Macaca mulatta: one gene and its partner. The protein of the gene in region 2 interacts with the protein of the main gene of each other region in a pairwise test. Links are inferred from orthologs where the notes say so. Each region holds a gene or a part of one and is shown on either strand. Other genes may lie near its edges.

Region 1 (4,576 bases), on a different chromosome or scaffold from region 2:
TCAACTCAGATATTGTTTTTGCAGGTCTGACGGCATGATGGATTTAAGCAAAGCAACCAGTTCTCAGTGGTAAACGAAGCACAGTGTGTTGGTTAATTCTGCTTTTTTTCGCTGGGGTCATTTCACTAATTAATAGCAGATTCTAGTAAAGGGGGTCACAAAGCGGGTACAGAGGCTCACGCCTGTAATCCCAGCACTGTGGGAGGCCGAAGCAGGTGGATCACCTGAGTTCAGGAGTTTCAGACCAGCCTGGCCAACATGGTGAAACCCTGTCTCTACTAAAAATACAAAATTTAGCCCGCTGTGGTGGTGCACGCCTGTAGTTCCAGCTACCCAGGAGGCTGAGTTTGTAAGTATCACAGAATTTTGACATCACAGCCGGGAGGCTGAGGCAGGAGAATCGCTTGAACCCGGGAGGGGGAGATCGCAGCAAGCCGAGATCCCGCCACTGCACTCCAGCCTGGGCGACAAAGCGAGACTCCATCTCAAAATAAAATAAAACAACAAAATGAAATTCATGTGTCTGTTTTAGTTGTTGCTGTTAGATGATGGGGGAAACCTCGGAAGCACATGACGAAAAATGTGATTTCTAAATACAGTATTTGTGAAATTCAACTCTCAAGGAAGGCTATGCCAGGCGCTTAAACCAAATCCAAATCGAACGCAGTTATTTACTGAACGTTAACATCCACCAAGTAGCCTCTCATTTCACCCTCCAGAAATCACTCATTCCCGCCGACCCCTGAGTGGCTTTCTGACCCAGGCTCCAGAGCATCCACTAACCGAAAATCAGAAAGGGAGACTCACTAATTTCTCTTTTTAACCTCCACTTTAAACACTATGCCCACAGCAAGGCGTTCTGATCTCTCAAACTTCCGGACTCTTTTCCTATGATGTTCCGCATGGCCCTGAACACTAAACTCTGGTCCCCCACTCAGGTACGATTCGCTCCTCTTTTCCTGCTGTGGTTCCGCGGTCACTCCGTTAAGCCCTGACGCCACAGGTCGGGCTCTGCTTAGCACTGACCCTGCTGCGGAAGCTCTAAGAGAACGCGCGAGTGCGCACAGCATACCTTGCCCAAGGCGGGGAATCCACGCCCCGGAACCAGCCTCCCCGCTCCCTCAGCCCGACTGCGCGGCTTCTTCCCGCTGCGTCGGCCTCCTGATCCTGGCCGATCTCGGTCCGGGCGCCAAAGCGGTGCCTCGCAGAAGTTACACAGCCTGCGAGGTCCCCTTTATCTTCCGCAACCCAGGTTCCGGCCAAGGAGACAATACCGTTGCCATGGGGACGGAACGCTACGGGCCTGCAGCGAGCGCCTGTAGCCATAGCGACGCGGGGCGCTTCCGGTTCGGAGAGTCCCTGTTGGCTAGAGCCTACAGCAGCTCTTACGGCACCCTCCGCTTTCCCGTCCCGGCAGGCTAGACGCTCACGGCCTCCGGCTCGCCCCAAAACTGGCCTCTGCATATTGTATCTCACGAGACCTTACCACTCGGAGGTGAAGGCATAGGAAGAGAAGATACATTCCGTCCAAAGATGGAAGGGAGCACTAGGCCCCACGACCCTACCTATTTAAAGCTGCGACGTGTGCGGGCTGGATTCGGCGACGATCCCTTGCTACGGAGCACCCCCACAGCTCCTCGGGAGTTTTGTTTTCGTGGACCCCAGAGGAAAGGCTTAGATATGGCTGTTGACTGTGCTGGCATCGTCTGTTCTACCCAGTCAGATTGGAGCTAGGCCTGGTTAGGAAAGCGGATTGCAGGAAGTGAGTAGGCTAAGAAATCAACTACTCTAAGGTCTGCTAATGGTTAGCTGTTCAGCGAGGGAGTCGGGCACATTTAGCACTTAGCCCTAAATAATGCAGCCATATCTTACCCCTTCGTTGGCCTGGAATACACAGTGTCTGGAATACACAGTGTCTGGAATACACAGTGTCTGGAATACACAGTGTCTGGAATACACAGTGTGTATAATGCACAGAAGGAGCAGAGGCAGTTGTGGCCATACCCAAACAGCGCCAGCTCTTAACAACGCTATGTTGAAGGATGTTATTATGAAACCTATCACAGACTAGGCCTATGGCAAGTCAAGTTGGAGTGAATGTGTCCCAGTTGTTTTCAGAAAAGAGCAGACTAGGTAGAGAGACAAGGAGAACATTGAGAATGTGACAGATGGTATTTACGTTTGGTGTTTGTTATTTCCAGCTCGAGGATGGAAGTTTAATTGCCATTGATCCAAGACTGCCAAGAAAGCCTTTCTAGGGTTAGCTTGGAGGAGTTATTTAAATGAGTTTGCTTGAATATCTCTTAAGTAAAGCCTGTATGGTCTGTTAACTCAAGATTTAAATCAGTACCTTCGAGCTCCATAGTCACAATTTTGGAAAGATTCCTCCACTTCCTCGTTTTTCCTAAGAAAACTCTCAGCATGGAACAATGATGACAGCAATGAACTTGATTTCAGAATGTCAAGGTTCTGGTTCTGACAAGTGTGTGGGTCCCAGTTTTCTTGCCTATACAGTGAAAGTACTTGTACCACTTAGTTTCTGAAGCTCCTTCTGGTTCCAGGTTTCTGTAAGGGGTAAACGATTTTTGTGACTCCATGAACAGTATTTAACATGTATGGCAGTAAAAAGGAAGACTCTGTTTCCTGTTCTCCAACATTTATTTCTCTCACCCCTTGTTAAGTTGGTCATCAAATTGAAAGGTTTTAGTGTTCTTTCATTGTAGGAAGTGGCTATGGGATTGTTTCTAAGTATATTAACGGTAATGTCTTCTAAATCTTTGCTTTTGCTGATAATTGTGAAGGGAAGTGGAACCAGAACAGACGCTGAATTCCCATTCCTGAAGCTAACGCTCTGATTCGGCCTCCATTTCATTAGCTCTGACCAGAAGCACGTTGCCTGCATCTGTAAAAATTATAAATCAAAATGAAAGAACTTTGACGACTTTTTTTTTTTTTTTTTTTTTGAGACGAAGTCTCACTCTGTGGCCCAGGTTGGAGTGCAGTGGTGTGATCTTGGCTCACTGCAACCTCCACCTCCCTCCCGCATTCAAGCAATTCTCTTGCCTCAGCCTCCCAAGTAGCTGGAATCACAGGCCAGTACCTGTGCCACTACCATCTGGCTAGTTTTTGTATTTTTAGTAGAGACAGGGTTTCACTATGTTGGCCAGGCTGGTCTGGAACTCCTGACCTCAGGTGATCTGCCTGCCTTGGCCTCCCGAAGTGCTGAGATTACAGGTGTGAGCCACCGTCCAGCCAGAACTTTGAAGACTCTTGAAGTTCTGTGGTATTTTCTTTCCTTGCCACGTTAACCCTGTCCCCCAAATGTAAGCTTTAGTTGTAGTATATACACTTTTTAGGTTTGTTCACTAACTCTGGGGTGGAATCCCACTAATCGAAGTGGATAGTGCTTTTCCACTGTGTGTATTCACATTCTCTCCCCTGATCTGGAGGTAGAGGTGAGAAATTTGCTACTGCAGAAATTGCATAGAGGAAGCAGTCTGGAGAGTTTTCTAGGCTCTTACAACCCCAAATCAAATATGATTATCTCCAAACTATTCTATCTCCAGGAACTGTGAAATTTAAGGCAAGGAAATCCAAATAAACTTTCTCTTGGAACACATTGTTAAGGCCTCTCAAGAGAGGGTTAGATGCCTTGCTTCTGAACTCCCGCAGTATCCTGTCCACAAGCTCATCCTGATTCTCACATTGTACTGGCATTTCTGTTTATTTGCAAGTTTCTCCAGTCTCCATACATCTATCCTTCCAACCAGACAAAAATATCTGTGGAATACCTACTATGTGCCTGATAATGTTACAAGCAGTAGGAAAGCAAAAGTGAACAAATAAGAATGATTTTGCTTTCCAGGAATTTCTGTTCTACTAGATGAAGAAAAACACAGCTGCTAGTAAACAATAGTGTCTCTGCAAGTTACAAAAAGGCATAAGGCTTAGGAAGTATGCCGCAACATTGTATGAATTTGGGAAAAGCCTCTTCTTCCAGCCAGACTCAGACCGCTGCTAAGGAGTACAGCTTTGGGAACAGAGAGTGGGCTGGAATTCAGGACTCACTCACTTCCTTAGCTAGATGAGTCGCCTTAAGAAAAAGTGGGCCAGGTGTGGTGGCTCATGCCTGTAATCCCAGCACTTTGGGAGGCTGAGACAGGTGGATCACGAGGTCAGGAGTTCAAGACCAGCCTGGCCAACATGGCGAAACCCGGTCTCTACTAAAAGTAAAAAATTAGCTGGGCGTGGTGGCAGGTACCTGTAATCCCAGCTACTCGGGAGGCTGAGGCAGGAGAATCGCTTGAACCTGGGAGGCAGAGGTTGCAGTGAACCGAGATTGTTCCATTGCACTCCAGCCTGGGTGACAAGAGCAAGACTCCATCTCAAAAAAAAAAAAAAAAAAAAAAAAAAGGAAAAGAAAACGAAAACGTGATAAACAGTTATGGAGAAAAATAAAACCAAGTGAGGGATCTAGAAGGTGATGTGGCCATGGCGGGAGGGGTGTGCTATCTTACATAGTGTGGTTAAACAGGGCCTCTCTGACAAGATGACGTTGAGAAGAGACCTCAAATCG
Region 2 (4,453 bases):
CTCTGTAATCTCTCATGGCTGAGACTCTGCTTATTAAAGCTATGTAAAACATGTAAAGAAAAACACACACATTAAATTAAAATGTTATTTCTCCCCTTTCATCTTGCTCTCTTCCAATCCATCCTATATGTTTCCAAATGCTAATATCTTTATATCATTTATGGCCTCAAAAACCTACGTAGCCTTAGAGAGTCTAAGCCTTTGGGCCTGGTATCCAAGGCTGTCCATAACCTGGTCCCCTTTCTCTCTTTGAAAGGACCTCCTCCTATCCCTTCACACAGACTTGGCTACACTCAAGCTTGTTTATCCATTGTCCCTGGAACGTATCATCATCATTCTCTAGTCTGTAGGAAAGGAAAAAAGGTAATCAGTTTTCTTCCTGGCACTTACCATATTCTGGGCATTATGATAATTGCTCTCATATTTTTATTTTATTAAATCCTTAAAACAGACCTATGAGGTAAATAATTTCATCTCAGTCTAACAAATGAGTCTTTAGTGAAGGCTCAGAGAATTGGTCACACAACCCCAGTGGAGCCCGATTTGCCCTGAGGTTCTTCTCACTGCAAAATCTCCTTCCTTATTCTGAGCTTTTCTTTCTGTCCTTTCCCCAGTCTAGACACCTGTTTGCCCCTTCATGCTTGAGTCATGCCCTGCTTCCTCTGTGAGGCAGCCTGATTATTCCAACCTACTCCGATTGCCCTTTCTCTGAACTTTAATATTACCTATTATCCTTACTAGGCTGCATCACTATTTACTGTTTCATTTAACCTGTCTTGTCATCGTTCACTAAAATTAAATTTTCTGAAGGGGAAGAAACTTATCTTACATCTCATTTTATTCTCCTTAGATGCATAGCACCTGCCCCCCATCCAACCCAACATGTAGTAGGCCCTCAATAACTATGAACGAATCACAGCCACATATGCCAGATTCAGCAGTTCAACACATGAAGTAATATACACACCATATTATCTATTATAATTATACTGACATGTGTAAAACAAGATATTTTTATTGTCATGCAATTAAAGTTAAAATAACATCATAAATTTCTATAAATTTGAATGTTCCCTTTTCAGGTTCTATGTCTGGCCTTAAGAAAACTAAAATGATGTTGTAATATAAAGAGGGAAAGAAAGACTTTTTTTTTCTTTATATATATTTTTTTGAGGCAGAGTCTTGTTCTGTTGCCTAGGCTAGAGTGCAGTGGCATAATGATAGCTGACTGCAGCCTCCACTTCCCAGGTTTAAGCCATCCTCCACCCTCAGTCTCCCTAGTAGCTGGGACTATAGCTTGTGCCACCATGCTCAGCTAACTTTTTTGATTTTTTGTAGAGATGAGGTCTCACTATGTGGCCCAGGCTGGTCTCAAACTCCTGAACTCAAGTGATCCTCCCACTTCAGCCTCTCAAAGTGCTGGGATTAGAGGTGCAAGCCACCACACCCAGCCAAAAGATTATTATGACAATAAAACATCATATAGCAAACTTCTCTACATATTACGTTATATGTCCAAAAAGTTAAGGAAGAATGTTTACTCAAAATTATTACTTATAAATTATTTATGTTTATACTAATAATGTTTTCCATTTTTAATTTTCATGTTACAAATTAGAAGTAATTCTCACAGGCAGGCGCAGTGGCTCATGCCTGTAATCCTAGCACTTTGGGAGGCTGAGGCGGATGGATTCCCTGAGCTCAGGCTGGGCAACACAGTGAAATCCCGTCTCTACTACAATACAAAAAATTAGCCGGGTGTGGTGTTGTGCACCTGGAGGCTGAGACAGGAGAACTTGTGAGGCGGAGGTTGCAGTGAGTCGAGATGGTGCCATTGCACTCCAGCCTGGGCGACAGAGCAAGACTCCATCTCAGAAAAAAAGAACAAAAAGGTAGAATTTATTTAAAGCAACTCTTGATTTTGCTGCGAGAGAAAAAATACATATTTATTATAACATAAAAACAAAAGGAAAAATAACTTATTTAAAGCAACTCTAATATATTGGGATATAATTTATTTTGCACCATAGAATAACAGAAAATTAGTTCTTAATAGAATGGAAATTAATTTCCATTTACAGTAAAAAAAAAAGCTTTATATTCAATGATATAAATAAAAAATTTATATTCTAACCCTGGTTTCAGTATTTTTACATAATAACACAGAAATGATTAACATTTGATAAGGTTTAGAAGAATAAATCATGATGGTTTGAAATAAGAACACTTTTTAGGAACGTCATGAGAATCAGAAAGTTCTGTGTGTGAAACAGAAACTAAAAAGTAAAAGGCTTTCGTAAATAAAGGACTATCAAATTAGCCTGATGTCTTTTTTCATGTGAATCAATTAGATTTATCCTTTTTTTTTTTTTTTAATGGGGCAGCCTTCTGAGCCAGAATAGGCTCAGAGACTCCCAGATTTATCTTTAAAAATAGTAAAAGGGCTGATTAGTTTGTTTTTGAGGTATGAATTAATATCATTTTAACTTCTGATATATTTCTATAGCAGACTGATTTTTGCTGTTTGTATATTTGTATTAAATACTATCACAAAATGCTTTGCTTCCAACATTTCTTTTTTACACCAAGCTATGCTTCATAATGCAAATATTTCTCAATGATACCAGTACTCATTTTTATCATGCATGACCACAATAAGATTTTATGTCATTTCAGAGCCCCAGTTTAGGAGGAGAAGAAGCGGGGGAAGCAAACTTACTTTCACATTCCAAGTCACCACATTTTTTCAGGTCTGCCAGCAGTTTTGTACTTTCCAGACACTTTGTCAGAGAAATAGCCAGAAGAAAGATTCTGTGGACGCCAAGTTTCTCCATGCTAAAACAAGCAACCAGGAATCCCAAGTGAGGTTTAAGCCAATTGTTCAGGCTGTAGAGATGTCAGCCAAAACAGGAGATATTTTACTCTCTTTACTAAATATAAGAGAAAAAGTGTTGAAGTTTTAAAAATTTCTTGATAACTACATTTTTCTACCGACTTGTTGGTTTAACTTGAAAGACAAACACTGTCTGTTTCCAATCTGCAGTGTCAGGTATTCCTGTAACACCTAAGGGTTTAATAATTAACAAGGATTTTTAGTTGGACTAATGTCTTATAAAGGAAGCCCATGTAAAACTGTCTCACTTAAAGGTACCTTGTGTTCAACAAGACAGTTTTTAAGTAGGTCTCCACAAAAGCGTAGTTACCTGCAAATACTAATTTCAGTGGATAATGTACATAGTGTGTGCAAAAATAGTAATAATTTATGTTAAAAGAATGGCTTTGAAATATCATGGTGAAAAGTATTTTTAAAAAGATTCCACCTGTATATTTAAAAACCCCTTGTTGTTACTATGAAGTTAAAACTTATTTAGTTAAGAACAATAGTTAAGGCCGGGCGCGGTGGCTCAAGCCTGTAATCCCAGCACTTTGGGAGGCCGAGACGGGCGGATCACGAGGTCAGGAGATCGAGACCATCCTGGCTAATATGGTGAAACCCCGTCTCTACTAAAAATACAAAAAACTAGCCGGGCGAGGTGGTGGGCGCCTGTAGTCCCAGCTACTCGGGAGGCTGAGGCAGGAGAATGGCGTAAACCCGGGAGGCGGAGCTTGCAGTGAGCTGAGATCCAGCCACTGCACTCCAGCCTGGGCGACAAAGCGAGACTCCGTCTCAAAAAAAAAAAAAAAAAAAAAAAGAAAAAGAACAATAGTTAAAATGTAGTAAGTACTTACTATGTTCCAGGTACTGTCTTAAGTAAGTACTTAAATATCTGATCTGATTTAACCTTCACATCAACTCTCTGACGTAGGTAATATTATCATCCCCACTTTAGTATATAAGGAAACTGAGGCACAGAGAGATGGGTTAAATCACTCACTCAATGGCACGTAGTGAATGGAAAAGAAATGTTAACCTAGGTACGATGAGACCCCATACTTATAACCAACCACTTGCTTTACCACCAAGAATCAAGTCATCTGCCGTGTAAAGATGTCACTCTGTCTGCAACAATACTACTCCAGAAACAGCAGGTAGAGTATTACTCCATGTTTTAAAAACTGTATGCGTATTTCTGTAAGTGGACAGAGAATGAAAGAAAGATACCTGAATAAGTGCTCCCCACATAGTGGAAGTATATAGTGTGATTTCCGGTGGTATTTTCTTCTTTGTAGTTTCCTATATTGTTTGACTTTTTCTATATTGTTTGGCTTTATTTTTTTAAAAAGAAAGCATATATCTTTTTTGGTTTGGTTTGGTTTTTGAGACAGAGTCTTACTCTAGCCCAGGCCAGCCTCCCGGGCTTAAGCAATCCTCCCACCTCTCCTTCCTGAGTAGCTGGACCACAGGCATGCAGGACACAGCTGGCTAATATTTTATTTTTAGTAGAGATGAGGTCTCACAGTGTTGGCCAGGCTGATCTTGAATTCCTGGACTCGAGTGATCTTCCTGCTTCAG

The links.
Region 1: the proteins of MIA2 (region 2) and TTC23L interact in binary tests that used the Homo sapiens proteins (3 or more experiments, as listed by UniProt). The two-hybrid records come from large-scale screens. The link is inferred for Macaca mulatta from reciprocal best matches to the Homo sapiens genes MIA2 and TTC23L.

What each region holds. Positions count from the first base shown.
Region 1 is NC_133411.1:35,899,464-35,904,039, reverse strand, and holds the start of TTC23L (tetratricopeptide repeat protein 23-like), read right to left. Parts: upstream 2,934-4,576; 5' UTR 1,465-2,933; coding exon 1,073-1,464; intron 1,056-1,072; exon of another isoform or gene 808-1,055; intron 1-807.
Region 2 is NC_133412.1:112,353,059-112,357,511, reverse strand, and holds the start of MIA2 (melanoma inhibitory activity protein 2), read right to left. Parts: upstream 3,074-4,453; 5' UTR 2,835-3,073; coding exon 2,720-2,834; intron 40-2,719; coding exon 1-39. UniProt on the Homo sapiens protein: Plays a role in the transport of cargos that are too large to fit into COPII-coated vesicles and require specific mechanisms to be incorporated into membrane-bound carriers and exported from the endoplasmic reticulum.